Linked DNA regions of Pelodiscus sinensis. The protein of the gene in region 1 binds, or shares a complex with, the protein of each later gene. Links are inferred from orthologs where the notes say so. Each region holds a gene or a part of one and is shown in the gene's direction. Other genes may lie near its edges. The genes, in order: NDUFAF1, TMEM186, ACAD9 and ECSIT.

What was found.
Region 2: NDUFAF1 (region 1) and TMEM186 share a complex: the UniProt entries of both Homo sapiens proteins name them as parts of the mitochondrial complex. The link is inferred for Pelodiscus sinensis from reciprocal best matches to the Homo sapiens genes NDUFAF1 and TMEM186.
Region 3: NDUFAF1 (region 1) and ACAD9 share a complex: the UniProt entries of both Homo sapiens proteins name them as parts of the mitochondrial complex. The link is inferred for Pelodiscus sinensis from reciprocal best matches to the Homo sapiens genes NDUFAF1 and ACAD9.
Region 4: NDUFAF1 (region 1) and ECSIT share a complex: the UniProt entries of both Homo sapiens proteins name them as parts of the mitochondrial complex. The link is inferred for Pelodiscus sinensis from reciprocal best matches to the Homo sapiens genes NDUFAF1 and ECSIT.

What each region holds. Positions count from the first base shown.
Region 1 is NC_134714.1:64,361,785-64,369,536, reverse strand, and holds the start of NDUFAF1 (complex I intermediate-associated protein 30, mitochondrial), read left to right. Parts: upstream 1-4,741; 5' UTR 4,742-4,898; intron 4,899-4,906; exon of another isoform or gene 4,907-5,160; intron 5,161-5,353; exon of another isoform or gene 5,354-5,439; intron 5,440-7,752. Other genes in the region: RNA polymerase-associated protein RTF1 homolog, read right to left, coding at 1,372-1,449. UniProt on the Homo sapiens protein: As part of the MCIA complex, involved in the assembly of the mitochondrial complex I.
Region 2 is NC_134726.1:10,777,276-10,784,945, reverse strand, and holds TMEM186 (transmembrane protein 186), read left to right. Parts: upstream 1-4,794; 5' UTR 4,795-4,922; coding exon 4,923-4,925; intron 4,926-5,217; coding exon 5,218-5,946; 3' UTR 5,947-7,161; downstream 7,162-7,670. Other genes in the region: PMM2 (phosphomannomutase 2), read right to left, coding at 347-438, 1,627-1,703, 3,854-3,965, 4,650-4,718. UniProt on the Homo sapiens protein: As part of the MCIA complex, required for efficient assembly of the mitochondrial complex I.
Region 3 is NC_134721.1:48,473,680-48,481,068, reverse strand, and holds the start of ACAD9 (complex I assembly factor ACAD9, mitochondrial), read left to right. Parts: upstream 1-4,379; 5' UTR 4,380-4,438; coding exon 4,439-4,564; intron 4,565-7,123; coding exon 7,124-7,217; intron 7,218-7,389. UniProt on the Homo sapiens protein: As part of the MCIA complex, primarily participates in the assembly of the mitochondrial complex I and therefore plays a role in oxidative phosphorylation.
Region 4 is NC_134729.1:12,699,249-12,707,058, reverse strand, and holds the start of ECSIT (evolutionarily conserved signaling intermediate in Toll pathway, mitochondrial), read left to right. Parts: upstream 1-4,804; 5' UTR 4,805-4,909; intron 4,910-5,488; exon of another isoform or gene 5,489-5,609; intron 5,610-5,697; 5' UTR 5,698-5,811; coding exon 5,812-5,928; intron 5,929-6,483; coding exon 6,484-6,886; intron 6,887-7,771; coding exon 7,772-7,810.

The sequences.
Region 1 (7,752 bases):
ATTCAGTCTCCAGGCAATGTTCTTTCTTTATCCTTTTACCAAAACGCCAAGCAACAAAAGTTCATTTACATTTCTGTTTTATTTCCCAACACATCAAAAGCTTCTCTAATGAAGTTACCACTTAATGACCCAAGTACATGCATCCACGTCACATCTGAATACTTAAGAATATTTAGCCAAGATACCCAAAGGGATGAACTTCCCTACATGATTTATAATATATACTGTACAGAATTTATAAGTTTTACATATCACAACACCAGACACTATTAAAGAATAATTAAAAAGATGGAAAGTCTTTTGAACAAAGTCACCTCCACAGAGTACAAGAAATAGAGTCTAACTTCCATGTTCTCTTTGAAGTTCTCACACACTTAAATTAATGCCAGGCATCATATTTATCTTTCAAGTTCCTCTAGGGATGTCAAACATTATCATTAGTATTTCTGGACTCCTAACCTCAAGTAATCCCCCACCAATTGAGCCCCCCAGATTCAATCACTGAAGCTAAGTGGAAACTAATGAATTTGTATTAATAATTCCCACAGTAGCCAATCTGGACCCTCTACAGGCATACTGTGCTGGACGGTCAGTAGAGAGAAGGCACCTGGCTGTATTTATCTCCCCCTAATTGGTCTCCTAACATATGAAATATAATTAGAAAATTAACTGTTCCTTTAAGTATATTCCACTTGCTCTTGCCGTTTTTGGTATATCTATAGGTAAAGGCCACATGATCCCTAAATCTGACAAACATAAACAACTGAGTGACATTCCTCCTATAGAGACAGCACCAGGGACTACAGGTCCAATGGGTGATGGAGCAGCTAACTCCCTCCAACTTTTAACCACATAAGTGACCCTCAGACCGTCACTTTCCAAACAAAACACGCTAACACCTTTCCTTAGCAAGTAAAACTAGCGGTGACAGAGAGGACTTTACAAGTGATCTCGTCTCAGAGCCTGAACAACAACACCGCCGCCGCATACATTTACTCTCTGCCCCACATCCTGGTCCAAATCGATGCCAAGGTTTCCATGGATTTGTATGATTACCCCCATGGGATTAGCACCATAATTGACACCTGTGCCCAGGGCTTTAGCGGGTCTGTTATTACCCCCGCCGCCCCAGGTGCCGGGCTGTTTTCTACCAGCACCCGCGGGCTGCTTGTGCGTTACGCCCGGGGGTCTCTCCCCCGGGCCCGGAAGCCGATCAGGACCCCATCCCCGCACGGGGAGGCGGGTCCGAGGCCTTCCCCGGCAGGGCGGGGCGAGCTCCGGCTGGCCCCGGCGGGGGCACAGTGGCGCCCAGCCGTGTGCTCCGAGCAGGGAGCCCAGGCCCCAGCCCCGGCCTCCCGCTCAGCTCCGCACCTGATCCAGGTTCTCCTCGCTGCCGCTGTCCTCGGTGTCGGAGTCGATGAGGACCCGGCCTTTCCGCTTCTTCACCATGGCGGAGCCGGCCCCGCCGCGCTGAGGGGCCCGCGGACTGTGCGGCACTGAGAGCGGCTCGGCCTCCCCCGCGCCGCCCGAGCGCCCGGGACACAAAGGGCACCGAGCATGCGCCCCGCGTCGCCCCGCCCTCCGGGGCGGAGCCTCCGCAGCCACTAGCCGAGGGGGCGGGGCCCGGGCTGGGTGCACGTGTCCGTACGGGGCTGCTGGCTGGGACGCGGTATCACCCGTAGCTGGCGCCGTGGGATCGTAGGGGCCGAGCCGTCTGCCTCGGGTCCCCCGGGGTAACTGCGGCCGACAGGGATTGCGGAGAAATACATTCTCCTTCCTTCTGCAGGAAGGGCGAGCTGGTGTCTCAGGGCAGCGCTCTGAGCGCAGACACGTTCACTGCCCTTCCCTACCCCACTGAGGGGCCCGGTGTCTGGGTAGAGCTTTCATACAGCAACCGGGGAGAGGAAACGTTAAAACCACAGGAAAATGTGATCGTGACGTCGCGAAAGCGCGTGCGGGGGGAGGAGGTGGGGCAAACGACAAAGGTGTATGTATATATAATACTCGAAATTACTTTGAACCGAGGTTTGAAATTGACTAGATAGCATAGTAAGCACTGACACCTAGGGTATAAAGCCCCATTGACCTCCTGAGGGATGCAAGAATTATGTGACAGAGCCTATTTCGGGATTAGGGCTCAGGGGCTGGAATTTGTTTCCGCTGAAATATGGAATTCAGCGATCTGTCTCCCATTGGCATGATTAGTGCAGGAGTGAGCAGTCCCGAAATGAGGGCAACATGTATATTGTTGTTTTTAAATTATAACTGACTCCCTTTGGATGAGTTCAGTCATAAAAGCGGGTTTGCAGCACACTTAGTAAAATCACATTTTAATATGCTGCAGCTAACCGTGAACATACACAGATCAAAACAACAAGATAGCCATACATATGGGGCTACAACTTGAAGTCCTCACTGAGATTATAGCTAGGCGAATTTCCCATGGGCTTCAGAGAGTTTTGACTGAGTGAGGTGCTCAGCTATCATACTATGATAATGGGTACCATATCAGAAATAAGACAGAATTCAAGATTTGCCCCTGGACAATAGACTATACCCTTCTGTTCTAAAAGCAGAGGTCACCTTCACTTGATCTAAAATAGACTCTCACCTAAGTGTCAGCAGCTTTAGGATTTACATATTTCTTCAGACTCCTTGACACTAGAGTTAGAAAAGTACAGATAAATGCACATCATGTTTCTGACATCTTTAGAGAGCAGATATACAGCAGTACCAACCAATCATGCATTACTGTGCCCTGTTGTAATTAGTGTAATTGGCAAACCCGATTATCTGAAGGACTAATTTGACATTTCTAAGGCTGCAAATAGAGATTTAAAATAGTCACTAATATAATTTAACAATTTAATTGTGTTCCATTGTTTACCTGCAATGATTTGAGGACATTTTTGTGGCAAGTTGCCAGGCCGGGAGAGAAGAAACCATTTTTTTTCAAACCTTAATATTCTCTGAACAAAGTCTATTTACTTGTCCATTACATGTGGAGATTGTGGAAAGAAAAACTTGGTTTTGAGTGTGCTGTAAAAATTATTTATTATTCTGAACGGGGTGTTGATGCTAAAATTTAAGAGCAACAATTTAAATGACAACATAGTAAACTATTTCACTACTGTTCATCAGAAATCTGTGGATAGAACACCTTCACTTTTCTCTCCAGACTGGCTCCTGAGGTCACCCCTGATTCTTCAAGAGGCTCTGCACAAACACAAGTTCCACTTGTGTGGAGCTCATTGTCTCTGTAGTTGTAAAGACATTTTCTTAGTTGTATATAGGCTTAGCTAAGGAAGGACTAATGGTTGTTATTAAGAATCATTATAGTTAAGATTGTAAATCAATATATAGCCTAAGGTGAACCCTTTAAATTTCACTGACATTTAAATAATAGCTTGGAAAGCCAGGAACAGTAAGGTAATGTTATAAAGTCCCAAACAACAATTATTGGGAAGTACCAAAGACATAGTACTCCAAACAATGTTAACTCTGACTGTCTTTATTTTGGACACTTTCTTTGAAATGTTAATTTGCCTGTACTGAGTATCAGGCAGTGTTAACCACTCATATGCACTGACATATCTTATGAAAAATTTCAGCCGAAGATCTCAAAACACTTTGCAAGGATTAAAGATTTAACCTCCACTACCTGGCTCTTTGTGGGGTAGGAAACATTTAAGAAAGAAAAACCTGAAGTACACAAGTGACTTGTTCAAGATCACATTGGAGATAGTGGTGCTGATTGGGACAAAAAAACAGGAATGCTGATCCCCAAACCCTTATGTAAAGCCAACAGGAGGAACAGAACCTGGGCTCTTGGGAGCTTAGTGCATGATCCCCTATACCACTTGAACTAAAAGTTAGCTGGCTGTTATCTAAGGCTGTAGAGAAAACTGATTTGTTCTCTCTCAGAGAGTATGTGTACCCAGTAGTGTTATTTTGGAATAACTGATGTTATTCTGAAATAACAGTGTGCGTCTACACTAGAAGTCTTTATTTCGATATAATGTCAAGCTGGAGGACTTCTTACTCTGACTCGTGGTAACCCTCATTTCATGAGGAGTAAGGGAAGTTGAAGGAAGAGTGTACTTGCTTTGACTTCCTGCTGTGTAGACAATGCTATTTCAACTTAAGCTTCACAATTGACATAGCTGAAGTTGCATAGCTTAACTTGACTTTAACTCTACTGTGTAGCGGTACCCTAAGTGCCTAGGGTTATTAGCTGGTTTCACAAAAAATACCAACCTCCCCTCCCCCCAACAAAAAGCACTGGGAAAAAAGTCTGTTTTTAGATGTCCAGTAGTTTTGTTATCGGACAAAAGGTACAAATACCAGGTTGTCTGGTTCAATACCGGCCACCTGGCAACCCTGTTAGTGCCACTATTAGACAGAACACCACACCCAAAAGGTGTCTGGGTTACATACTTCCCCTAGGGAAGCAGATTCTGGGCTTCAGAGGCACAACTGAAATCCCAGACCAGCCCCTATTTGTAACAGGCAAAACTAAACCTATGATCTCTAGAATTTAGTGCATAAGCAGGCTCCCAGCTAAGGCTGTAGCAAAAACTCATTCTCTCTCTGTAAGTGTTCTAAGTGCCACTGGCTAGGACAATAGCCCACACCTACACTTGCTCCAACCAGTAGGAAATACTGCTTCCTGGCAAAGGGAGCTGTATTTTGAATGGACACGGACGAGCATGGGACCAAGCAGCAGTCTAAGGCGGGAATCCGCCGGGTGTAACTGTGAGCATCGAGGCTTTGTAGCGCCTCAGGGCCAGGCGGAACCTTTGAGACACGGCCGGAGTTCCCCTGACGGCGGCTGAATGGGGGCGGACCCAGTCGCTAAGCGGTTGCGGTGAGGGGAAGCCTGCGGTGTCCGCTGTCAGGTGAGACGGAGGGCGGGGGTCCCAGGACAGGCTCGCTCGGGAGCAGCGGGCGGCCAAAGGGAGCGGGGTTGGTCTGGGGGGGAGGCTCCTGGCTCAGGCCTCGGCCGTCTCCCCTTTGCAGCGACCCAGCGCCCGCAGGCTGGCGTCCTCCAGCGAGCTGGCGTGGGGCCGGGCGGGCGCTCGCCCTTGCTCGCAGTCGTGACACGGTGCAGAGCCGCGTTCAGGCAGGCCTGGGAGCGATGGGGCCGTTGGACGCTCACGGGTAAATGGCGGAGCCGCTTGCTGCTGTGTCGTGCCGCCCACCCACATAGGGGCAGAGTTTAAAACGCATATGAGAGGGGAGCGGGGTGGGAGCGCTTGTGCGTGAAAGGGGGAGGTGAATGCGGGGGGATTATGCGGCTGGGGGTGCACTTGTTTATAGTCGCCAAATGCCGCGTCCCTACACGCTTCTGCAGATTCGGAAGATCTCCCGCTCTCCAGAGGTCTCTGACGGCACCTAGAGACTTTGGGCAGCGGGTGCCTGCCCGTACAAACTTTGAAGGTAACCCGCAAAGAAGATTAAATTGGACTTTTGTTCTGATTGACTTCTCTGTGATCTATATAGGGAAGGACAAAACTTTGTTATTTTGTAAATAGTATTTTCACCCTTCCCCTTCGGTGCTTGTGTTTTACTTTGGAAATGTGGGTCCTGCTTCCACTGAAAATTCTATTGTGACCAGGAAACTGGGGAAATGGCGGCATCACAAAAGTCAAAAGAGTAAAAACCGAGGCCTCGAGACAAAGAGTTTTTAGTCAAATTGCTTAAAATTCTCTTGTTTTAACATCAGTGATATTTTGGATAAAGAGTAAAAGAGCCCTCCATTGATCTATGTGCTGAACTCAGATTTTAATTACAAAAACTTCTGCAAATCATTTCTACTTAACTGACTCGAAGTTTTATAGCAGTCTTTATGAATAGTCTGCCTCTTAGATTCATCTTTACATGCTTTTGCACAAGTGGATATCACTCAGAACTGCCATGTATTTATAGAATGAATAGTATACGTGCCCATCCTCCCTCTCTAAAGCCTGTGGGGGACCAGGATAAATCATTGATAAAGCCTGTGGGGGACCAGGATAAATTATTAATCTTCACTGCATTTCAGAAGGGCTACATAACATTGCTAGGACTGACAGTTCTCTAAGTTGGTAGCTGTATTTTATTTTAGGGACGATCTTTACTTCATGAGGGCTTTCCTTACCAGCCATTCTTGGATTGAACAGAAATGTGGGAATTCCTTGTCCTGAAAATGATTTGAGGCTATCACATGCATCTCTTGGTCTGTCAAGAAGCAAACATGGGAAATGAGGATAATGATAATGCTACAATCTATTTCTCCACTGTCCCACAAGTTATGTGCTGGATAAGTAACACTTTTGTCTTGTCTTGACACGCGTGTTCTTCTGCAGTGCTCTCTAATTTTTGGTTTGTTACTGGCTGCCTGGACATATAATTGATTAGGTGGCAGACTCCTGTGGGACAACTAGCAACAATTATTGTGGACTAGCACAATGCTAGTGCTGAAGTTGACAGTAGGGTCAAATGGCAAATTAGTTAGAACTGATCTAGTTTCCTGATGCAGTCAGTGCCACATGCACAATGCTTCTGTACTTAAGCTCATTGTTCCTATGTCACTGCTTCTGATACTGCAAGGAAAGGAGAAGTAAAAAGGGAAAAGAGGGAAAATTGAGAAGGACTGGGGAATAAGCAAATACAGAAGATTGGAAATAAGAGTCCTAATTATGTTCCACACAGTTTTTTAAACTTTGAATTATATGGAACATCCATGCCCAGAAGAAACTCTGTGGTAGGGAGGTTGGACTTGTAATTTAAGAATTCCCAAGGGGAAAGAACAAGTACAACCATCATGTGGATCTTATTGGCACTTTGATAATATTTATCTTGAAATCTTCCTGTCTTAGAATCTCAGAGGAAATAATATATTTTAAAATTGTCGGGCCAATTGCTATAGCAAGTGCAATCCAGTCTAGTTTACTTATATTAGTTAGCCATTATAATTTCAGATATGGGGCCTTGAACATTAGGGATATGAAATAGAAGGAAAAGAATGTGTGTGTTAGTGGGAGGAGAGTCTAAAAAGATTACAGAGAACATCCTTTTTTCTTCTAAAGGAAAGATTGTCATACTAGGAGTTGGGGGACAGAGGCTCAGGTTTTGGGATGCAATGTGCCATCTTAAATACTCAGACAATTTAACTCTTCCTGGCACTTCTATGGTGCTAGTCCAAATTAGGGATGTAAATGACTAGTTCAGTCACTACTCGCTTTCCCCCGTATCAGAGGCAGCAAGGGGGGAGTAGGAGCTGGTGTTGGGGGATGGGGGATGGCTTAAAATCCAGTTCCTCCCAGCACCGTCTCTCTACTGCAGAGGGGTGGAGTGGGGAAGGCAGAAACACAGCAGTCCAGGACCCGATGCAATCCAGGACTGCTCAGTCCCAGTTCGGGCTGGGTCCCAGACCTACCTCCACTGTCGCTCTGAATTTTAAATGTAATAGGAGCTGGGCAGCCTGCATGCCCGACTTACTACATTTAAACTGCAGAGCTGCAGAGGAAGTAGCTCAGGCTCGCACTTCCTCTTATGGATGAATCGTGCTGTCGATACAAATTGTATCCAAACACTATTAGTCAGTTACCTGCTTCTTAACATCCTTAGTCCAAATGTGGGTCTGTTAGGGATGGAGGTGGCTGAGTGATGCTTAATAATGGTAGGTAGACTGAGGGAGGTATAGCTCAGTGGTTTGAGCATTGGCCTGCTAAACCCAGTTGTGAGTTCAATCCTGGAGGGGGCTATTTA
Region 2 (7,670 bases), on another chromosome or scaffold:
CTGCACTTCATAAGGAATAAAAATAAGAGGTATCCCAATGAGCACCCAATGTTCTGTCCATCTAGATTTTTATATTACAATTTGTTTTATGGAGAATAAACAATTCCCTGTTGAGCAACGTTGCATAATCTTTACCCATGATCCTTCACTTGCTCCAATAGTGGAGCTTGTCTTTTTCTGTATGGGATTGCTGAACAATAGCATACATCTCTCTCAATTATACAGTATGTACTCAAACACAATCCATTCATTTGTAACATGACTGGACAGTGTCTTCCCTACTGAAGATCAATACCCCAAAGCAGGAATACTCTCTTCCCTAAGTTATGCATGCACATATACCTACCTTTTCTTTGGCAGTTTAATCTTCGCAATGTAACTCAGACAGTAGTTGATTAGATCTTGGAGCAAGTCCTCACCCAGATGACTCTGAATGCTCTAAACATACAAAAAGACATATCAACTATAGATCCAGAATTCTGAAAGTAACTTATTGACAATACAGGTTTTAGATTCTCGTGTATAGCAGATGCCAGAAAACCAGGTCTTAAGTACGTGGTTCTCAGTGTATGTGCAGTACTGGTACTGTAGGCTCCCGTTCTCTACCTTAATTATAAAATGCTATGCTGCACAACTGACCACTTCTCACGAATGTTCCCTCTAATCCATGTGTGGAATAATTTTTGTTTTTTGTACTACCAATAGAAACACATGTTACCGACTGTGGGCACTTTGAGCGATCTGCACTCAGCTTACACGAACACTATCTCTCAGTATAACATGCTCCTCCATGCCCCTACTTCACACTGTGGGTTAGAAAATGCATGCTGAAATGGAAAGGAGTAGATAGGGGCTAGTACAGCTTAATTAAGTGCGGGAAACAGTTGCCAAATAAGTTGGGAACCGGTACCTTAAGATATGGGTCAGGTCCTGAGCTATTTTATTTTCCATTCTCCAATAGCTAAATTGAGGCACTGAAGATTATCACAATATTAGATTTAATCACCAGTATTTTCTCAGCCTCTTAAATTATTTCTAGCAGCTTATAAAAATACTCTACTCAATCAAGGCCACCCTATGTGCTAGCTCCTAAGCAGCAGTGGGGGTACATTCCACTGGTGGTCAAGGAAAGGAGATGGCTTTAAGCCACCCTTTCCACTTCCCAAGTCTCAGGCCTGTGAAGGACCAGCTATAATTTAGAGTAGCCTCAAAGGTGTTCTAAATGAGGCCCAATTGTTATAGAAATTCCATGAGTGGGCATCACTAGAGGTCTCCAGCCATGACCCCCATGCCAGAGAGTAGGAAAGATGTCACTCAGGAATTTTACGTGCTGGAAAAATTCTCTAGTCAAATCTACCAGGTTTTGAGCAGGGCAAACCAGGAGGTCTGAGGTAAGGATCTGGCTCTACATCTTGCGTCAATCTATAGATTTAAGAGAGGAGATGGACTGTCAATTGTACAAATAAAATTCTATATATAAAGCAATAATTTCAGACTATTAAATGATCACTGCAGCTGCAAAACAAGACAGGCAATTCTCCATGCAGAATTATGAGAATAAAAATCTTGTTTGAAAGATTTTAGCCTTACAATAATCAATTAGTTTATAAGATCTATTAAACATACCTGCTTGCACAACAACACCCCATCTTTGTATGAGACTAGACCATTTTCTGGAAAGATGTAGTCAAACTTTTCAACAACTAAAAACACAAACAAAAAATGCTGCAGTTTATATCTTGTCTTTCCTTCATTGTATGCAAACCTTTTCAGTACTAAATACATCAAAATATAATAATTTTAGAATAATAATAATTTTAGAATATTAAGCAGAAGCTATACACTTGTAATGTCTGATGAAAAACTTAAAGGACCTAATTCTGCAATTTCTATTTGTTCCTCCTTCTGAAGCCACTGGGATCTTACACCATGAGAATAGCAAGTAGTTAAGTTACATACATTTAGCATGAAGGATCTGACTCTATCCTTAGCACATTTAGTTGTGCTTTACTATTGTAAACCAGGGGTGGGCAAACTCAGGTGGAGGGGCGAGGGAAGTGCTGAAGTCAGGCTGTCTCCCTGCCCCTGTACCTTGTCTCTGCAGAGCAGGGGTAGAATAACACACTCAATCAGCAGAGCTGCTCCATTCTAAAGCGTGATTCAGAGGAGAGCAGAAGGGGGAAGAGAGACAAGACAGATTTCCTTAAAGAGACAGAGCGTGGCTGCTCAGAAATTTAGCGAGCACACATGCTCTGTGTCACTGTCACACACACCCAGTCTGTGCCACAATCTGTCACACAGTCTCTCTCACACAAAATGTCTCTTTCTGTAGCCCCACCTCAACCCCTTCCACCCAAGACTCCACCGCTTCCAGGGGCCCCTGGAACCAGCCTATCACCACATACCAAAATTTATGAAGTGCCCCTCCTGAAAAAATTATTGCCGACCCCTGTTGTAAATTGCCATGGATCCAGTCACCATTGCAAAACCTTGGAACAACAATCTGGACATAAAAATCAATAAGAGGACAAAGAAAAGTTTACTATTTGAGGGAGATTATTTTAATGCAATTCTACTTGATAAAAATGTGTGTGTTTTAAACTGAATTACAGGATCAAGTCTCCTTTGAAATATGTAAGTAGAATTAGGAGACAAAAATATGGTTCCAAAATGATAAATCCAAATGGCTTCTTCTGTGCCACGGACTATGTTTCAATAGGAAAATGTACAATAGGGATGTAAGTGACTAGTTGACTACCTGATAAGCATAGGCTTATCAGGTAGTCGAGTCACGACTTGCTCCTCTTCCCTTGCTGCCTCTGCAGCAAGGGAAGGAGGGAAACAGGAGCCAGTGCTGAAGAGAGGCAGAGGCACAGCAGGGGAAACAGCAGAGTCCCTTCCTGCGGGTCCCGACTGCTGTGCCTCTCCCTTTGAAATGTTCAAGGGCTATGGGTGGCTCTTGCACATTTCAAAGGGACAGGTGCAGCACTCGGGACCCCACATGAGCGGGGACTGATTCGGTCTTTGTTCGCACAGGTTCTCCACTGCACCTCTGCCTTTGAAATGCAACAGGTTAGCAAGTGCCCCCCCTTACAGGCTAATCGATGGAAATTATATCCACTACCTGATTAGCTGATTAATCGGAATGTTACATTCCTAATGTACAATACTACTATTTATTGTTCTACAAGTTGTATAATACGTCTACTGAAACTAAAACTCAGCCTTGGGATTCAAGTAAAAAAAAAACCACTATAGGATCAGTTGTGGCATATTCTAAATATTCTGCTTCAAGAAAAGCTGTGAAATCACATCCTTATTTGAACATCTGCAATAATTGTAATACTGCTGGAGATGATTTGGGGGTATCTGGCTCTTGCTAACTAAAAATCAGATGACTTCGGAAGGCCATTTCCAGGCCAAGTAAAACCATGATTATATAAAATGTTTGTCAGTATATATTGGGAATGCATAATTGTGAATTATGAAAGGCAATTAATACTGATCTTTCACATTAAAAACCTTACACAGAGTTAAAAAAGGGAAAGAACCAGATCTCAAAGGCACTATTTAATAAAAATCAGCTCTTGCGTGGATGAGCACATTAGATAAACTATGTAATGAGATACAAACAACTCCATTTTATAAAGATTGTTAAAATATATCTTAACTAACATTTCATGAAATCGGCGTAATATAGTAAAATCAGAGAAACATATTCAGAATAAGGAAGTTTGCATTTAATGAAAAATGACGTGACCAACTCTGGGAGAAAGGGATTGTATTTACCCATCAGAACTTCCTCATAAGGAATTCGTTTCAACTTGGATTGCTACATCTTTTTTTTTCTTACCATCATCTCCCAGCTGCTCTTGAATTTTTTCAAAGTCTGAACCACCTACAACTCCAACTTTCACCTTCTTTCGTAGCTTCTGCAGAAATTCTGCCATTTCTGCTGTGATTTTCTAGATTAAATAAACAGTTTATATTTTAAGGTAGTTAACTACTTTTACCATGAGTACCAGTTGAATTAAAATACAGTGCAGTGGGAGAAAGGTCACTGAGAACTAAACTCTGCAGGGTTTTAAGAAGCGATATAAGAAAAATTTTAAAAATGTCTATGAGAAAATATTCCCGGAAGGCAAAATCCCTTAAACAACAAGGAAGTCACTATAGCCTCCGGCTCGCTAATGGAGTGTTCTCCCTACTGCTAAACGTTAAAAACCCGCAGTGGCTTGTGATGAGCCTTCGGGGACAAGCCCCCCACGGAGCCAGCCCCTCCCCACCCGGAGCCCAGGGGCATCAGTAAGTCGGCGCAACGCCCGTGCGCGAGGGAGCGGCTCGCGCAGATCACGCAGGTTAACAGGTGGCAACGCTGCTCCTTGAGCCCGAGAACCAGGGAAGTTCCAGGTCCCCCCCAAACGCCAGCAACAGGCTCCGCCCCCAGCTCCCTCAACGGCCAGCGGGCACCCCCTGCACGCGACCGGCCGCAGCTCCCCAGAGCCCCTGCGTGGGGACACAGCCCGGCGGCTTCGCGGGGCTCTCTGCTCTCCGTGCCCGGCGGCCGGGCAGCAACCGCCCGCTCTGGCAGCCCAGGGTCCCTCCCGCCGCAACGCGCTCCACCCGCTCGCCCCCGGCCCTGGGCCCACCTGCCGGGGCGCGGTCAGGGTCCCGTCCACGTCGAAGAGGCAGAGGACGCTGCTGCCCGGCGCCGCCATGCTGCGGATGAATGAGAGGGCGCCTCACTCTCTTCCGGGTCTGCGCGACCCAGCCGCGGGGGATGCCGGGAGCCCAACAGCTCGACTGAAAGGCACCTGCGGGCCCCTCCCACGGTGCAACGCAGCAGCTCCGACGTACGCGGCCCGCGAGCGCCGCGCAGGCGCGGTGGCACTTGGGTCCTGGATCCACGTCTCTGTCTCGGGATGGTAAGGCCGGGCCTAGCTGGGCGCGCGGCTCGTGCCACGGCGGGTGGGGGCGGCACCCGGAGGCGGGGCTCGGCGCTGTACAGCGCGCGCGGGCGGGCAGGAGGGCGCCGCGCTTCCCTGGCCGCGGTGTTAGTGCTGGGGGCGCCTCAGGCCCGGGCCGGCGCTCGGCGCGCGAGGGCTCCCCGTTGCCTTGGGGCGAGGTTGGGCTGCGGCTTCAGGCGGGCTGGGCCCCGCGCTGGGCGGGGCTGCCGGTGCGAGGTGTGAAGACCGGGCATGAAACCTTCTCTTGTAGGCCGCGGTCTTCAAAACCAGCACTCGCCTCCGCTCCGCGCTGCCTCCCTGTGGGCGCGCCTTGCCGCGGGAGCCTTCGGCCAGACTGTGGCAGAGAGGAGACAGGTGCCGCCCCCGTTGGCTTGGGACCCCTGTGTTCTTACAGGCTCCGCGGTGGCGAGCGGGCAATCCTCGGGCGGGGCTGGCACAGTACAGATGTGCCGGTAGCTTAACCCCCACCAACCGAGGCTCGGAAAAGCCTGCGAGCCAGGACACGGAACAGTTCAAACTGGTCTACAAATTCCCAGGAATTAAATATTGTCGAATATTTTCAAGAATGAAGTTGTTACAGACTGCTCTGACCGTAGTCACCCTCCCTCCAGTCTATCACCTCTATCTGCAGGAACAAGTTTCTCAGGATTTTCTGTTGTATGTCACTGGCATTGCTTGCTTTGCTGCTGCAATGCTGTATGGTACAAGTTATTTTTTCAGACGAATGATTGGACTGATATACTTAAATGATGTTGGCACTATGGTAAAAGTGGCACATTTGACATTTTGGGGTCAAAAGAAAGTCATTTATTGTCCAATTGAAACTGTGATGCCCTTGGGTGACACTGGAGATGCCAAGAACGAAGTACTGCTTCAGTTTAAACAGCATAATAGTACACACATTTTATATTTTACTCTAAAGTTTGGCCATATTGTAGATAAACAGAGGTTTGACCAAATATTTGGAGGATATTACTAATACATTTTCCATTGATCTTCATGCTGAATTCAGAGCATAGTTTAATAGATGTATAAATACTCAAATCCGGAATATTACCATCCTTTTTTCGTACAAATCCTCAGCCAGCATGCACACCTGTGTTTATACAAAGGGCATACCTTGATGTAGTAACCACTAGACAGAAGTTTCTGTGTAGTAATTTCAGATGAAAGCTGAATCTCATTGCACACACACAACTATTATGTAAATAAAGCTAGTATAATACTCATGTCTGGTAACTTGCACTTAAAATTGGTTCACCTGAATGTGCAGTTGAGCTAGCAGGTAGTGGGGTATTTTTTTATGGTGCTTTCAGACTAGGATAGCAGCTAAAAATAATTTATTGGTAAAACTGAGCAAATGTAACTTGCTATCAGAGAGAACCATAGAAACCACAGCAGCATTTTTACTATCTCTTGTGAGACTTCACTTTCAATTTGTCAAATTTTGATCAAGAAAATTTTAATTTCTATTAACATGTAAAGTTAGTAAGTTATTGAAATTGCAAATTATTCCTGTAGAACTGCAAAGTAAGGATTATACTAGTGCAAGAAATGGTCATGAGGTGGAACCGCTTGCTCACTTGTGACCTTGGCTAGCAGTAACCGGGAACTATGCCTCTCACTTTTTGTAGCAATTCTTCTGTCAGATCAAAACTTAGTGTCAGTGGGATTCAGAGTAAGATTTGTCCAGCATTCAGCAATGGCTTGTGGCATTTTAACTTGTGTACATAGAGAAAAGGATAAATTCTGAACAGAAGTATATTACAGATTTGCAGAAGCTTGAAAAACATTTTCTTACCCTGAGCTACAGGCACTATCTAAGGTTATTGTAAATAAGAATTTTAAGCATTTTCAGTGCTTATGATTGATTTGGATTTTTTTTTCAATTTAACAAATTGAAACTCATTCATTTTCTTAGGCATAATATTTTAATATTTGGGTTGCAAAGACAGCAGGGAAATGGTTATTTTTAAACAGCAACTGTGCCCACAAAGGAACTAAATGGCACATCAGTTCAAAATATCCTTCCATTGACCGGACTTAGTTTTGATTGTGTACTGTAGATTGTACTTTTCACAAATTAAAAAAAAGTTGTATGAAGTGCTAACTGACTTCAGTTCTCACGTTGCTTATTGCTGTAGAATGACATGTAATGCAGCAGATTTATAAAGCACAGTATGCATTTTAATAAGTGTAATGGTTACCTTTATTATCACATGATGACATACAATGTCAACACAAGCAAATCTTATTGTACCGAGGGAGTTGTTTAAAGCTGCACCAGTTCATATAGCATTATGAAAGTTCACAGGAGAAAATCTTGCCTAACACCTCTCCAGCTATAGAATGTTCTGATTACAGAAGTAGTATGGCTGCATCTAAACTGGCAAGATTTTGCGCAAAAGTGGCTACTTTTGCGCAAAATCTTGCCACCTATCTACACTGGCTGCGAGTATTTGTGCAAGAACACTGACTTTGTAATGTACAAAATCAGAGGTTCTTGCGCAAACACTCCGATGCTCCCGCTCAGGGATAAGCCCTCTTGCGCAAGTATTCTTGCGCAAGAGGGCCAGCATAGGCAGCCAGCTTAATTTCTTGCTCAAGAAAGCCTGATGGCTAAAATGGCCATTGGAGCTTTCTTGCACAAGAGAGCATCTACATTGGCACGGATGCTTTTATGCAAAAGCAACTGTGCCAGTG
Region 3 (7,389 bases), on another chromosome or scaffold:
GCTTTTTATCTGAAGCAACAGCACGAGCAATCAATATGCAGCTGCTTCAATCACAACAGACCAGAAGAATCAGGTAATTAATTCATTCCTATTATAAAGTAGCTTTGAATGAAGACGTAATGCACCATTACCCAGCAACACAGACATGCACTATTACCCAGTAACAATCTGGTTACATGCACCATTACCCAGACATGCACTGTTACCCAGTAACACTGGTTTTGCGCACCGTTACCTAGACATGCACTGTTACTCTGAAACACATTGGCTATGGCCTATCAACCCCACTTTCCTATCTCATATGCCAAAAGCAGATAGGAATGATAAAGAAGAAAACATAGCTTATACAATATTTCCCTGTTATTTTCCATCTCATATATATTTGTAAATGACAGAGTATACTCCAGGCCTCAGGAACACTAAGATCCGGATAGCTTTTAGCCTGCATCTTTTAACAAGTGGATTGTTTGAAGTTGCTATGGCTTGAATTGAAATTTTACTTTCTCTAAACTAAATTAAAAAAAAACTGCTTGCAAACTTCACATATGTTCTTAAAACATTCAACTCCACACTAAACAAATAAATAACACTGGCTACTGAATACTGGCCTTAGTTGATGAGTTATGGTGTCATTTCCTTATAATGTTGATATCACTTATTTTTCTGTACTAACAATGATCTTCCATTCTCCTTTCTGTCCTCTCCTTTTCTTTCTTACTTTAGCCTTATCTACCACTACAGACTTAAAAGCAATGGCTTGGTTTTGATCTTGTTTACACAAGTTTTATACCTATGTCATTCCACTGCCTTCAGTGAGGTTACTCCTGACTTACGCCAGTGTGAAATCACTAGCATGGATGAAATCTTGACTCAATGGTAGTGAGTAGAAGTCCAGCTTTCACCCCAAGGTTTTCAAGACACCTGCTTTGCCACAAAGCTCCTTCCTTATGTGCTTCCCTTCCTTATGTGTGGAAATTCTACCATAGTGGTGTCTTGTTGCTTTATTACTGCGAATGTAACAGAATTGTTCAAAACACAAACATTTGAAAACACCAGCTTCTCTTCAAGCAATGACAAATTCAGGGCCAGGTTCAGGAGTGCCTTTAAGTTGCTGAAGTGTTGTCCAGAATAATGATACTTTTCTGATTTGTGGCTGGTGCATATAAGCACAGGTGGGTTGACCTTGGCTGAAATGAGCCATTCCCAGAAAGCTACAGCACTTCAGATTCTTACCGGGACCCTAAATCCTGTATTATCTTCATATTTATGTAAAAAAGAATAGCTATAGAAAGTGAAATCCCTTACCCTGAAAAAACTTAAAAAACAGCCAATAGCCCTGCAGCACCTTGGGATATGTCTACACTACAGAGTTTTTTCAGAAAAATCGCAGATTTTCTGAAAAAACTTCAATTATGTCCATACTGCAATCACATTTTTTCAAAAAAAAATTGAAAGAACTGAGGGTTTTTTCCAACATTGGTAAACCTCTTTCTACGAGGAAGAAACCTTTTTCCGAAAGAGATCATTCAGAAAAAAGCATGTGTGGACGGGGAAGAGGGAGTTCTTTCACCAGAAGATGAAAGAGGAAAAAACACAGGCTTCCTGCTGGCCATTCCTCCCATAGTAATCACAGGTTACACATGAGAGAGCGTCCATTCAGTATGCTTGTTATCTTTCGAAAAGCAGATCACTTTTTCGATGCGCTTTGGCAATGTGGATGCTTTCCTTCGGAAGAATTTTTTTCGGAAGATCTCTTCCAGAAAAGCTTCTTCCAAAAGAAGCCTGCAGTCTAGACATAGCCTTAGAGACTAACAAAAATTGTAGATGGCATCATGAGCTTTTGTGGGTACAACCCACTTCTTCAGATGAATGGAGTAAAGGAGTCCGGGTTGCAAATAAATAGCAAAAAAAGAGGGGATGGGGACGGAAAGAGAAGAGGAAAAAATGGAGAAAAAAAGTTGTCAATTCTCATAGACTCGTAGGGTATGTCTACACTACGGCGCTAATTCGAACTAACTTAGTTCGAATTAGTTAATTCGAACTAAGCTAATTCGAACTAACGGATCCAGACTAAAAACTAGTTCGAATTAGCGTTTTGCTAATTCGAACTAGCATGTCCACATTAAGTGGACCCTGAACCGGGGTTAAGGATGGCCGGAAGCAGTGCCGGCAGGGCATCAGATGAGGACTTAGAGCGTGGAGCTGCTGCCTCAGGCTAGCCAAGGGCTGTGCTTAAAGGGACCCGACCCCCACCCCGGACTTGCAAAGCAGTCCTGGCTTGGATTGCCCGGAGTACCCACACTGGGCACATCACAGCACTCGGCCATCAGCCTGGCTGCACTTGCCGCAGGTAGCCATCTGGGGAGAGGGGGCAATTGGGGGGCTGCAGGAGAGCTTCCACCCCCAGAAGCCCGCAGAGCCAGCCCAGTCCTCCCCATCGGGGGCTCGTACCCCATTCCTCCCTCACCTCCTTCCACTTACCCTTCCTTAGCCCCCCTTCCTGATGTACAAAATAAAGGACACGTGTGGTCAAAAATAGAATCTCTCTTTATTGAACAAAACTCAGGAAGACTGGGAAAAGGAGGTGGGAGAGGGGAAGAGAGAGGGTAGGAGAGGGGAGGGCAACTAAAATGATCAGAGGTTTGGAACAGGTCCCATATGAAGAGAGGCTAAAGAGACTGGGACTTTTCAATTTAGAAAAGAGGAGACTGAGGGGGGATAGGGTAGAGGTCTATAAACGCATGAGTGGGGTGGAGAGGGTGCATCAAGAAAAGTTCTTCATTAGTTCCCATAAAGAAGGACTAGAGGACACCAAAGGAAAGGAATGGGTAGCAGGCTTCAAACTAGTAACAGAAAGTTGTTCTTCACAAAGCAAAGAGTCAACCTGTGGAACTCCTTGCTGCAGGAGGCTGTGAAGGCTAGAACTAGAACAGAGTTTAAAGAGAAGTGAGATAAAGTGATGGAGGTCATAGATTTCAAGTTAAAAGTTTTCTAACATCTATCACATCACTTTTTCTTCTTAATAATTACTTTAAGGTGAGGAGAGACTACTTAAGCAAAAAAAGAGAGAATGTTGTATCTTTTTTCCTGAAAGCCAGTGCAAAATGACATCAAGATTATAGGATAGAGTGACCTTAAATGGGGTGCCAAAACTGAGAGTTGTGGCAAACGCAGGGCTGGAGCATATAAACTTCCATTTTCAGTTTGGGGCTGCACGTCCAGAAAAAGATCAGCATTTCAGGTATGGGACTGAAATGGGGCAGTTGCTCTGTTCTGGTTTATAAGGGATTTTAAAAAAAACTGTGGGAGAGGGCTGTCTTAGAAGCCAACTGGAAGGAGGTTTGATGCAGCCAATCACAGCCCAGCTGGGCTGTATAAAAGGGCTGCTATGCAGTGAGTGTTTATCTTTGCTCTAGTTCTGGAGGAAGAGGGACCAAGCAGCCTAGTAGGGGTACTTTGAACAGGGCATACCTAGGGTTGTCAGGTGTCTAGTTTTGAACTGGACAGTCCAATATTTGAGCTTTCTGTTTGGGAAACAAATTGAGAAAATATAAACGTCTGGTATTTTCTAAATAAGATGTCATGTAGATTGCGATGTCATTAAGTGTGTCCTGTACTTTCATTGAAACCATCGGGCAACCAGCCCTAAGCAGCACTGGGGAAAGGCAGAGCGAGACAAGACAACTGGGCTGTGTCTACACTGGCATGAATTTCCGGAACTGCTTAAAACGGAATACTATTCCGTTTTCAGTTTTTCCGGAAAAGGAGCGTCTACATTGGCAGGCTGCTTTTCTGGAAAAGCCCTTTTTCCGGAAAAGCGTCTGTGGCCAATGTAGACGCGCTTTTCCGGAAAAGAGCCCCGATCGCCATTTTCGCGATCGGGGCTTTTTTCTGGAAAAGACTACTGGGCTGTCTACACTGGCCCTTTTCCGGAACAGTGCTCTGGAATAAGGACTTATGCCCGAGCGGGAGCAGAATAGTTTTTCCGGAATAGCGGCTGATTTTGTACAGTAGAGCGTCGTTGCTTTTCCGGAAATTCAAGCAGCCAGTGCAGACAGCTCGCAGCTTATTCCGGAAAAGCGGCTGATTTTCCGGAATAAGTGGCCCAGTGTCGACACAGCCCTGGGATCTGATCACCCCGGGGCAGAGCCACAGGGGCCAGAGGGGTGGTGGGGCTGCAGAGAGCAGGCCCAGGGCAGCTGTGCCCAGGCTCAGGGCGGGACGGGCACAGAAGGCAGCTAAGGGACAGGCAGGCGGCGGCCAGCAGGGGGCGCGGATGGGCTCAGCAGGGAGCCGTTTGGCGCAGGAGACCCGCTTCAGGCTCCGTCGGCCGCCTGTGGTCAGGTGACCCGCCGGACACGTCATCAGCGTGCGCCCCGGACGACGTTTGTGGGCGCCGGGCCGCGGCGGGGGGGGGGTGTCTCAGCACCGTCCGGACATGAGCGGCCTCAGCCTCCTGCTGCGGGCGGCGCGCGCCGCCTTCCCCGCCGGGGCTCGGCAGCTGCGCACTGGCGGCCCCCGCTGCGCCTACGCCAAGGAGCTTTTCCTCGGGAAGCTCTGGAAGGTGAGGCCGGACTTCCGCCCCTCCCCCCCCCCCGTGTGTGCCCAGCCTCTGGGGAGCCTCCCCCGGGCCTCGCCTCCCTCCCCTCCCCGCACTGCCTGGGCCAGGCCGCTGGGGCGCTCCCCTCCCCTCCCCTCCCCGCACTGCCTGGGCCAGGCCGCTGGGGCGCTCCCCTCCCCTCCCCTCCCCGCACTGCCTGGGCCAGGCCTCTGGGGCGCTCCCCTCCCCTCCCCTCCCCGCACTGCCTGGGCCAGGCCGCTGGGGCGCTCCCCTCCCCTCCCCTCCCCGCACTGCCTGGGCCAGGCCTCTGGGGCGCTCCCCTCCCCTCCCCTCCCCGCACTGCCTGGGCCAGGCCGCTGGGGCGCTCCCCTCCCCTCCCCTCCCCGCACTGCCTGGGCCAGGCCTCTGGGGCGCTCCCCTCCCCTCCCCGCCCCGCTACAGGACGCTCCGGAGCGAAGCTGCTGCTTGGTGGGCGGGCTCTTAAAACGCGTTTATGGGAGGACAAACATGTCACCGCTGAATCTCTTCCGTGTTTACACACACATGGGGGGGGGGGGGGGGATCCACTGAGCTGCCGCCTCCGTCCATCTGCACGTGTCTTTCCCGCCTCTGGGTCGCTGCCAGGGCTGCCAGGTGCCTGGCTTTGAACCCGACACTCCAGTATTTGAGCTTCCTCGTCTGGGAAACAAATTGGGAAAATAGAAACGTATCTTCTAAATCACGTGTCATGCACGTTGCGATTTAATGTCAGGTGCGTCCAGTATTTTTGTTGAAACCGTCTGGCAACCCTAATCCCTGAGGTCGTCCACAGGGACGCCAATTCGTTCCGTCTGAATTCAGAGTCTTTCACAATTTCATCCTGGTTTATATCTGTGCCCTGGTCTTAAATCTGTTACCATATTTTTTTCTTCACCTGTGCTACAGTGTTCATAGTTTCCTTAGATTGGCACCTCTGTGCAATTGACTGGGGCTTCCCCTTTTATATGGAACTTTCTCCCCAGTTTAATTTGCCATCCTACCTGCCTTTCTTCATCTGTGTCCTTCATAAAAAAAAGCAGTTCTGTAATGGGATTTATAAGGAATGAGTTTATATGTAAAAAGAAAAAAAAAAAGCAAAGTGGAGGTCGCCTTTTACCAGTGAAATATTCCATATGCTTTTATTATGTCATGTAAATTGTAATATTATGAAATTTGGGACTCTATTCTTTTGTTTATAGTCTGCAATTTATAGTGTCAAGAATAGTTTAGAGCAGGGCTGGAGGATCTTTTTCCTGTCAGAGGCCAGTGACCCACAGAAAAAATCAACATGGAGGGGTGGGGGGAGACTTGGGTCTTCCCACTGCAGCAGGGTGATCAGGTTCTCATAGCTCCAGCCCCATGGAGGCCTGGGGTCAAAAACAAGGGGCTCAGGGTGTGAGAGTGGGGCTCGGGGCTGGAGCAGAAGGTTGTGTTGTGGGCAGGACATAGCGTATAGAAGGGGGTTCCAATCTGGAGTAGAGGGTTGGGGTCTAGATGCAGAGTCTCAGAGGGAGGTGGTGGGGTGCAGGAGAGGATTCCATTTTGCGACTTGGGTAGACTGGAGGTTCCCTTCTCCTGTTTTAGATGCTTAGCAAATAGTAGAGCAGTATCTTTTTACAGGTTGAAATCATTCTGAAATTTGAGTTTCTTTCCTATAGAAACTTAAACAATGAATGGTCCAGTAGCAGCTTAGAGACAAACCAGAAATATAGATAGTATAGTATGATGAGCTTTTGTGGGCACAACCCACTCCATCTGATGATATGATCTTTTATTTTTTTGGTTAGTGTCTAAGCTTCTACAGGACCATTCATTGTTTTTTTTTTTTAATTACAGACTAACACAACTATCCCTCTGAGACTTTTTTCCTATAGAAGTTATCCTGTATTCTATGGAGATTGTGCAAGGTCCAAAGATCCTGGATTCTGTACTGCTGAGTTATCACATTTGGGTGTACAACCATGCTTTGCACTTCAATTTTTGTTCGTTTCAATTGTTAGGAAACAAGTTGTGTAAGGATTTTTTTAAATTATTATTTATATATAAATAAAAAATAAATTACTCTCCGATGTATGTAAAGGAGGATTTTTGTATGGTCACTTTCAGTTCCACATTTCAGTGAACTGTTGGACAGGCAGCAACAGAGGCACATGTTAAACTTTTGATTGTTTGTTAATAGTTGTGTGCCTTTGGGGATGAAAGCAGTGCACTTGTTCATAGCTCACTTCACCTGTTGGCGCACTTCCTTACATATCAAATTTTTTTTCTTCATTCCAGTTTTTCATTTTCAGATGCTGTTTCTGGTTTGTTTCAGCATGCAATATAATTGAAAAATACTGTTTTCCATACAGAACAAGTATCTTTCACTTACTGAAAGTTGTAAATAAGTTTGCTCACTTGAGACTATCTGAATTCCTGTAAACATTTTCTGCTCTTTTGGGTTTTTTTTTTTTAAGACATCATCATCTAAAAGCCATGTGTTTTTTCTTGAACCTGCTCTTTATTTTAAATAAACTTAATCATATTAAAAAACTGACATTTTAGGAGGAAGTTTTCCCTTATCCAGAGATTTCTAATGAAGAATTAGAAGAAATCAACCAGTTTGTAGGACCAGTAGAAAAGTTCTTCAATGAAGAAGGTATGGTTATTATCTTTTTTTCTACATAAATGGCTTCTTATTACTATAATTAAAATAAAAAAACTTTTGGGCATTTATCGTGACTTGTGTATACAGTGACTGTGTCCCCTTGCATTGTCAATTTCTCTTTTTGTGGTTTGTGCAAAGAGAAAAGTGAAATAGAAGAATAATT
Region 4 (7,810 bases), on another chromosome or scaffold:
TTGCCCTGGGGCACCGGGGGGGCTGCTCTGTTCCCCACAACCAACGTGGAAACCTCCAGCCTCATCCGCCGATGTGCCCAGCCCTGATTTCACTCACCCCACCGCCCTCCTCCACCAGGCCAGATACCACAGTGATGGGCACCACGTGAGCATGATGGCGTAGAGCTGAGCCCACTGTCCAGCGTGGCCTGCAGCGTCATCTCATTGTCCCCTCCCCCCGCATTCCCTGCTTCCACCTCTGGTCCAGCACTGCGGCCCTGATCCCACCAACGCCGATACGTGCTTCCGTTCACTGCCAGGTGCAGTCCTGGGTACAGTTAGGGGTTAGGGTCAGGGTTAGGGGTTAGGCATGAGGATTAGGGGTTAACGGTTAGGGTTAGGATTAGGGATTGCGTTAGGGCTAGGGGTTAGGGGTTGCATTGTGGGTTAGGGCTAGGGGTTAGGCATTAGGGTTAGGGGAGGGTTGGAGTCTAGGGGGAGGGTTGAGGGTTGGCGGCTAGAGGTAGGTAGGGTTGGGGGTTAGGGCTAAGGGTTAGGCATTAGGGTTAGGGGATGGAGTAGGGTTGGGGATTAGGATTAGGGGACGGAGAAAGATTAGGGGTAGGGCTGGGGTAGGCATTAGGGTTAGGGGAGAGGGAAGGGTTAGGGGTAGGTTTGGGGGTTGGGGGTTAGGCATTAGGGGTAGGGGAGGGAGAAGGGTTGGGGGTTAGAGGGTTGGGGGTAAGGCATTAGGGTTAGGGGAGGGGGAAGGGGTTGGGGGTTAGGGGTTGAGGTAAGGCGTTAGGGGAGAGGGAAGGGTTAGGGTTGGGGGTTGGGGGTTAAGCATTAGGGGTAGGGGAGGGAGAAGGGTTGGGGGTTGGGGGTTAGGCTCAGCATTGGCTGGCCTGGAAGGTCTTTGGGGCAGGAACGGCATCTTTGTTCTGTGCTGGTGGTCCTGGCCCTGGCCCTGCCCCCAGCCCTGCCAGTGCCCCTAATGCACCTAATAAATGGTCAGCGCCTGGCATCCTGGGCCATGCTCTGAGCCCAGCAGCCCTCCCCGATGCTGCCATTATCCCTGCTCCAGGCCTGAGCCTGCCACTGATCTGTGGCTCCAACCCCTAGGCCTGACTGCCTATGGCCCAGTCGGCGAGGAACAGTTGCATTGGTGGGGTGCCCAGCCAGTGGCGGTGCTGCAGTGGAGGCTAGGAGGGGGCTGTGGCTACCTGAGGTTTTGCAGAGCACTGGGTGGGGGGCGCTGGGTTTTCCAGGTCCCGCTTCGGTGGGCAGGGGCTGGGGCAGGTCCCTTCTCCACCGAGGCGCCTGCGGGCAGGCACCGCGTGGCTGGGCGAGGCGACAGGAACAGGCTCTCCAGTTAAATTGCCCCCTGCTTGCGCTGCCAAGGCCAAGCGGCCAAGGCTGGAGAACAAAGCGGCTGTGGGCCGGAGCCAGGCCAGGGTGCTGCAGGACAGCAGGGTCACAAAGGCTGCTGCCCCTTGGGCCAGGCCCTGCGGGGTGCAGCTGCCAGCACCAGATCTCTGGGTTCACGCTAGGCTGGGGGGGGGGGGGGCTCACACAGGCTGTCACGTGGCTGACTTCAAAATCTGGAATGAATGGGGGAGGGGAAATAGGCTAATGCCACGATCGGCCTAAGCGGGGGGCCGGACGCCAGGGCCCTATCCCAGCTCCGGGGGTGGGAGTGCGGGTTACAGGAGGGCACCACAGGGCGCAGGGAAGGGATTTCGGGGTGGCCCCGGGGCACAGGCGGGGGTGGGGGAGATGCTCCCATTCAGCCATTCAAGGTTTCAAACCCCCAGCGCTGTGGAGCATGTGGCTTAAATAATCCAGCTCCTGCCACCTTCTCCTCGCTGCGCCCGCCCCGCCCCGCCGCCGGGTTAATGATTGGCATTTGGGCAGGCCAGGAAGCAAAGTGGGCAACTGACAAAGTGGCAAAACTCGCAGCCGCTGTCCCAGCCCAACCCTGCCTGGGCTCAACAGCCAGCCGGGTGCAGCCCCCTGCCGCCGTGGGGTCTGCCGGGCGCATGCTGCAGCCCCATGGGAAAGGAGCCCTGATTTCATGGGGTCTTGCCCCAGTCTCCCCAATGCAGCATGACAATTTTGGGGAAAGGGGGTGGGGCCAGTCCTGCCCCCATCTCCTTCCCCCCAGGCAAGCCAGCAACCCCTGAAGGGAGCAGGATCTAGTGGTTAGTGTTGTGAGGGGGTCAGCTTTCCAGGGTTCTATTCCCTGAACCAACAGCTGCTCCCAGCCCCCACTCCTGGGGCACAGCCCCCACCCCCCTGGCTCCCTCTACATGGATCTGCCCCCCCCAACTCCACCTCCTGGGGCACAGACCACCCCAAGGATCTGGTTCCTCCACTCACGCCCTGGGGCACTGCTCCTATTGAACCCGTCAATCACTCCCCCCCCCCCCCCCGCAAGACACAGCTTCCCCATGGATCTGCCCCCCTCGGACTCTCCCCCACTTGCCCCCCCGGGCACGGGCCCCATGGATCTGCCCCGAAATGCTTCCCCCAGGTCACAGCCCCCCCGGCTCCGTGTCCCCCTCAAGTCACAGCTCCCCCATGGATCTGCCCCCCTCGGACTCTCCCCCACTTGCCCCCCCGGGCACGGGCCCCATGGATCTGCCCCGAATTGCTTCCCCCAGGTCACAGCCCCCCCGGCTCCGTGTCCCCCCCAAGTCACAGCCCGCCCAGGGATCTCCACCCCCAGGCTCGCACGATCCACTCACCCGGGACGCTGCTGCCCCCGGCCGAGGGGCGCCGGCTGCTCGGAACCCCGGAGCACCCGCGGCCACCCAGGCGGCGGTTCCGCGGAGCTGCCACATCCCAGCCCAGAGCCGCCCCACGCCCAGCTGCTGGCTCCGACAGAGGGGCTGGCCAGCGCCCCCCGCCTCCACCAATCCCGGCCCAGGACACGCCCCTTCTGGGGCTAGCCACGCCCCCGCCGCGGGAGCCGGCCAGGTGGCAGGTTCGAAGGTGAGGGGCGGGTCCGCTCCCCGCGGGCTCGCACTGTCTGGGGAGGGCAGTGGGGTGTAGCAGTTAGATGAGGGGGGGCTGGGAGCCAGACACCGAGAGGGGTGGGGGTGGGGCTAAGGACCAGGGTGCCTGGGGTCTAGCTCCAGGATGGGGGGACCCCGGGGCTGTCCCCTGAACTCGCAGCTGCTCTGTGGTTAAAGCAGGTGGTTGTGAGGCAAACTTCTGGGTCTATTCTTGGCGCTGAGAGGGGCATGGGGTCTAGTGGTTAGGGCCAGCACCGCCTGGGTTTCCATTCTCACACTGCCCCCTCGTGCGACCACAAACAGGCCCCAGCCCCTCCTTGTGCCCCAGTTTCTCCATCTGCACAATGGGGACAATACACACATCTCCGGGCCATGCGCGTGCAGTGCTTTAAAGAGGGAGCCGCTGCTTCCCTCGGTTGCCCAGGCAGCGTCCCCGTAGTCCCTCGCTGATGGAGGCCTTACAAAGCCCTGCACAAAGGGATTGCACAATCCAGCTCCTTCTGGGGTGGAGTCTTTATCCTGGGATCGCTCATGCAGCCCAGAGGTACAGTCACCCAGGGGGTGGGACCCAGCGGCTGTTCGTGCAGAGATACCCAGTGCTGAGATGCAGCCAGCTCTGGGCAGGGGCAGGGCAGGTGTTTAGCACAGCAACAGGGGCCTCAGCTTGGGGGAGGGAGGGAGGATGGAGCCAAGCAGCCCCGAAGGAGAGAACAGGACTGGGGGGGAAATCAAGCAGGAACATGATGGTCCTCTGTGTTGTTAATGAAGCTGGAGTTGGAGGCCTCCTCAGCAGTCTCCAAACCCTGCCCCTGTCCCTTCTGTGGGGGAGGGGAATCCAGGGTCGGAGGGGTGGGGGGGGGCAAAGGCAGGGCCGCATCCTGAACTGACCTCAGTTCCGGGCTCTGCTATAGAATCCCTGAGTAATGTCTGTGCCTCAGTTTGCCCATCTGTGAAATGATCGGACTTCACAGTGATCATCACTGTGGGGGCAGGGACTGTCTATACAGCACCTGACACAATGGGGCCTGATCTGGGGGATGGAGGTGAAGGAACTTAAATAATAACAGAGTCTTGTGCCTGGCTGTGGGTTCTGTCAAACCTCCCTGCAGGTCGGTCTCCCTCCCCCAGAGTCTGGATGAGAGATGCCTGGAGGGTGAGGTGGGGTGGAGTGGGGTGGGGAGAGAGGATTTGCACCTGGCCCTACCTGAGTGACTCAGGGAACCTGCCAGTCCAGGCACATCTGAGGCTGAATGGCCCTGGCTAGGCAGCTCCCAGGCTCGGATTCATCCTCACCCCAGCCTGGGAAACCAACGTTTAAACACAGCATAAGAACAGTCACACTGGGTCAGAGCCCAGTGTCCTGTCTGCCCACAGTGTGGATCCCAGGTGCCCCAGAGGGAGGGATCACACCAGGGAATTATCCCCCTCCGCTGTCACCCATTTCCAGACAAACAGAGGCTAGGGACACCACCCCTACCCATCTCTATTGTGAGCCCTGGTAAAGTCCTGGCCTTCACGTCCTCAGGCGAGGAGTTCCACAGGTTGACTGTGCGCTGAGTGAAGAAAAACTTCCTTTGGTTTGTTTTCAACCTGCTGCCCATTCACTTCACTTGGTGGCCCCGCCGTCTAGTGTGATGGGAACAAGCAAATGGCGTTTCCTCTCCGCGGGGGAGCCGGGAGCAGGAGGCCGGAGGCCGGGCTCCCCCCGCCGCTGGGAGTGAGGGGACCCAGGGGTCCGGGCTCCCTGCGGTGGGGGAGTAGGACCCACGTGCATGACTCTATCCCAGCCCGGGGCGTGGCTGATCGGACGGGGGAGGAGCCTGGGAGGGGGCGGGGTTTAGAAGCGCCACGTGTGCTTGGCCCCGCCCCCTGACCCGGCAGGGATTGGAGGGGGCCGCGGAGACGGCGGCGCGGTGAGGAGCCCGGGTCGGACACGGGGCGCGCGTGGACGGGAACCAAGCGGGGGGGGGCATGGCCCGGGCGTGGGGGGATGTGTGGGGCGGGGGGGAGGTTTGGGGGGGGCGGGGGGCATGGCCCGGGCGTGGGGGGATGTGTGGGGCGGGGGGGAGGTTTGGGGGGGGCGGGGGGCATGGCCCGGGCGTGGGGGGATGTGTGGGGTGGGGGGGAGGTTTGGGGGGGCGGGGGGCATGGCCCGGGCGTGGGGGGATGTGTGGGGCGGGGAGGAGGTTTGGGGGGGCGGGGGGCATGGCCCGGGCATGGGGGGATGTGTGGGGTGGGGAGGAGGGTTCAGGGGCTGGGGGCATGGCCCGGGCATGGGGGGATGTGTGGGGTGGGGAGGAGGGTTCAGGGGCTGGGGGCATGGCCCGGGCATGGGGGGATGTGTGGGGCGGGGAGGAGGGTTCAGGGGCTGGGGGCATGGCCCGGGCGTGGGGGGATGTGTGGGGTGGGGAGGAGGGTTCAGGGGCTGGGACATGCCTGTGTGGTGCTGGGGGGCACCTGGGCAGTAAACGTGGGCAGGGATGGGGATGTTGGGGGGATGGGTGGTCTCCCCACGGGGGATAAATGGGAAGCTAGGTAAGGGGGGAGGGGAGGGAGACAGAAGCGGCGTGTGTGGACTCCTATGGTGGCCATGAGTGGGGACAGCCTGAACAGGTGTTAGTCCCCCCCCCCCCCCCCCCCCCGATTTCCTGACCCTTTGCGCTGCTTCAATCTCTACATCACCTCTCTCTGTGTCAAGCAGACCCTGGCCGCCCAGCATGGCTGCCCCTTCCCCATGACACTGACTCTCCCAGCTGCAGCGGTGGCCCCACCCTAGCTGGCCCCTGCCCCGTGTCAGTGGGACAAACACCCCACCATGAACTGTGTGCGGAAGCTGCTCCTGGCCCGGGAGCTCTCTGCCAGACCAGGTGTCCTGCGGCAGCTCGCTCCGGGGCTGGATCTCCTGCGGCTGCAGGGAAGCAGCTGTGCCCAGGTACCAGGCGTCCCTCGGCAGGCCAGGGTGCTGGGCGCCGGGGGAGACGCGTTCTGCATGGGCGCTGCCCTGAGCAGCTGCCAGTCCAAAGCAATCTGGCTCAGGCGGACGCCTCGGGCAGCTTTGTAAACCTCTCTGCCCCCTTGTTGTTGGGTTGCCCCAACCTTGCTGCCCAGAGGCTGGCGGGAAATGATCGTGGGAAGGGCTGAGCGCCCACTGCAGCTGGGGGAGCGAAAATGAGGTAGGGGGCGGGAGGGGGAAGCGGGAAGCAGAGAAGGGGGGGCAGCGGTACCTGTCCATACAAGTGACATCACCATGGATCGGTGCAGTGGACAGGAGAAGCCAGGGTCACTGTACATGGGCTGCTAAGCAGCCGGCGAGTGGTACCGGTCGCTGCAGCCGGCCTGGAACCCAGGATCCAGCGCCCGAGAGCCAAGGGGACGGTGCTGCAGCCAGCGTGGTGCCGATCTCAGGCCTGACCCCAGCCAGAGGACTCTAAGCCCCAGGTAAAACGACAGCTGCTACAGGCCTTGTTTGCCTCCGCTTCTCTGCTAGCGCTTCTGGCCGGTGCCTGTGCGGAGCCATTCCAAGTTCACCCCCGCAGTCAAGGGGGACCAGGAGAAAGATGGAGAGTCCCGTGACGGCTCCCTGGTGCCCTTGGAGGAGCTGTTTGATCGGGCTTGCAAGGGGGAGCGGAACAAAGCCGCCTTCACGCGCGCGGTGGAACTCTTCTGCCAGAGGGACGTCCGGCGGCGAGGTCACATCGAGTTCATCTACGCGGCCCTCCAGAAGATGCCGCAGTTTGGGGTGGAGCGGGAGCTCGACGTCTACAACAAGATCCTGGACGTGTTCCCCAAGGAAGTGTTTGTGCCCCGCAATTTTATCCAGCGGATGTTCAACCACTACCCGAGGCAGCAGGAATGTGGGATCCACGTCTTGGAGCAAATGGAGAACTATGGTAGGGATGGGGATGGGCAGCAGTGTGGGCGACTGGGCTGGGCTGGGAGTCAGAGGCGGGTGAGCGATGGAGACGGCACATTCACTGGCTCTACCGCTGTCTCCACGAGTCGGCACGGGGCATGTTTGTCCCTCTATGGCTGGGAGGTAAAATCCCACTTGTTTAGTTGACTGGTTAACCGGGGGTGGGGGCTGTTGGCAATTTTGGGGAAAGGGGGTGGGGCCACGAGGGAGGCTTCCCCACTCCCCACAGCACTGTCTCTCCTGCCCCCCCTCTCCTTCCCCCCAGGCAACCCAGCAACCCCCGGGAGGGAGCACGATCTAGTGGTTAGTGTGTGTGTGTGTGTGTGTGGGGGGGGGAGGGTCAGCCTTCCAGGGTTCTATTCCCTGAACCAACAGCTGCTCCCAACACCCGCTCCTGGGACACACACCCCGGCTCCCCCTACATGGATCTGTCCACCTCCTGGGGCACAGACCACCCCATGGATCTGGTTCCCCCACTCACCCCCTGGGACACCATCCCTACAGAACCCCCTGTATCACTCCCCCCTGCAAGGCACAGCTCCCCCATGGATCTGCCCCCCTGGCCTCCCCCCCGGGCCCCATGGATCTGCCCCCAGTTGCTCCCCCCAGGTCTATTTGGGCTGGGAATTGGCAGCCTGGGGAGGGGAGAGGAAGGTGGCTGCTGGCTCCCAGCCTGCCAGCAGCCCTCCTCTCTCCCCCTGCCGGATGCGAACCTGCTGACTCCCAGCTCCTGAGCCCTCGCGGGTTTGGCGTCAGCAGCCTTGCACGGAGGGGAGAGAGGGTCGCCCGTGTGCATCCCTACTCCGTGGCGAGGGCGGGTGAATGTGCCATCTCCACCTCGTCTCCCTCCCAACGTACGCAGGCATCATGCCCGACAACCAGACGAAGTTCCTGCTGCTCC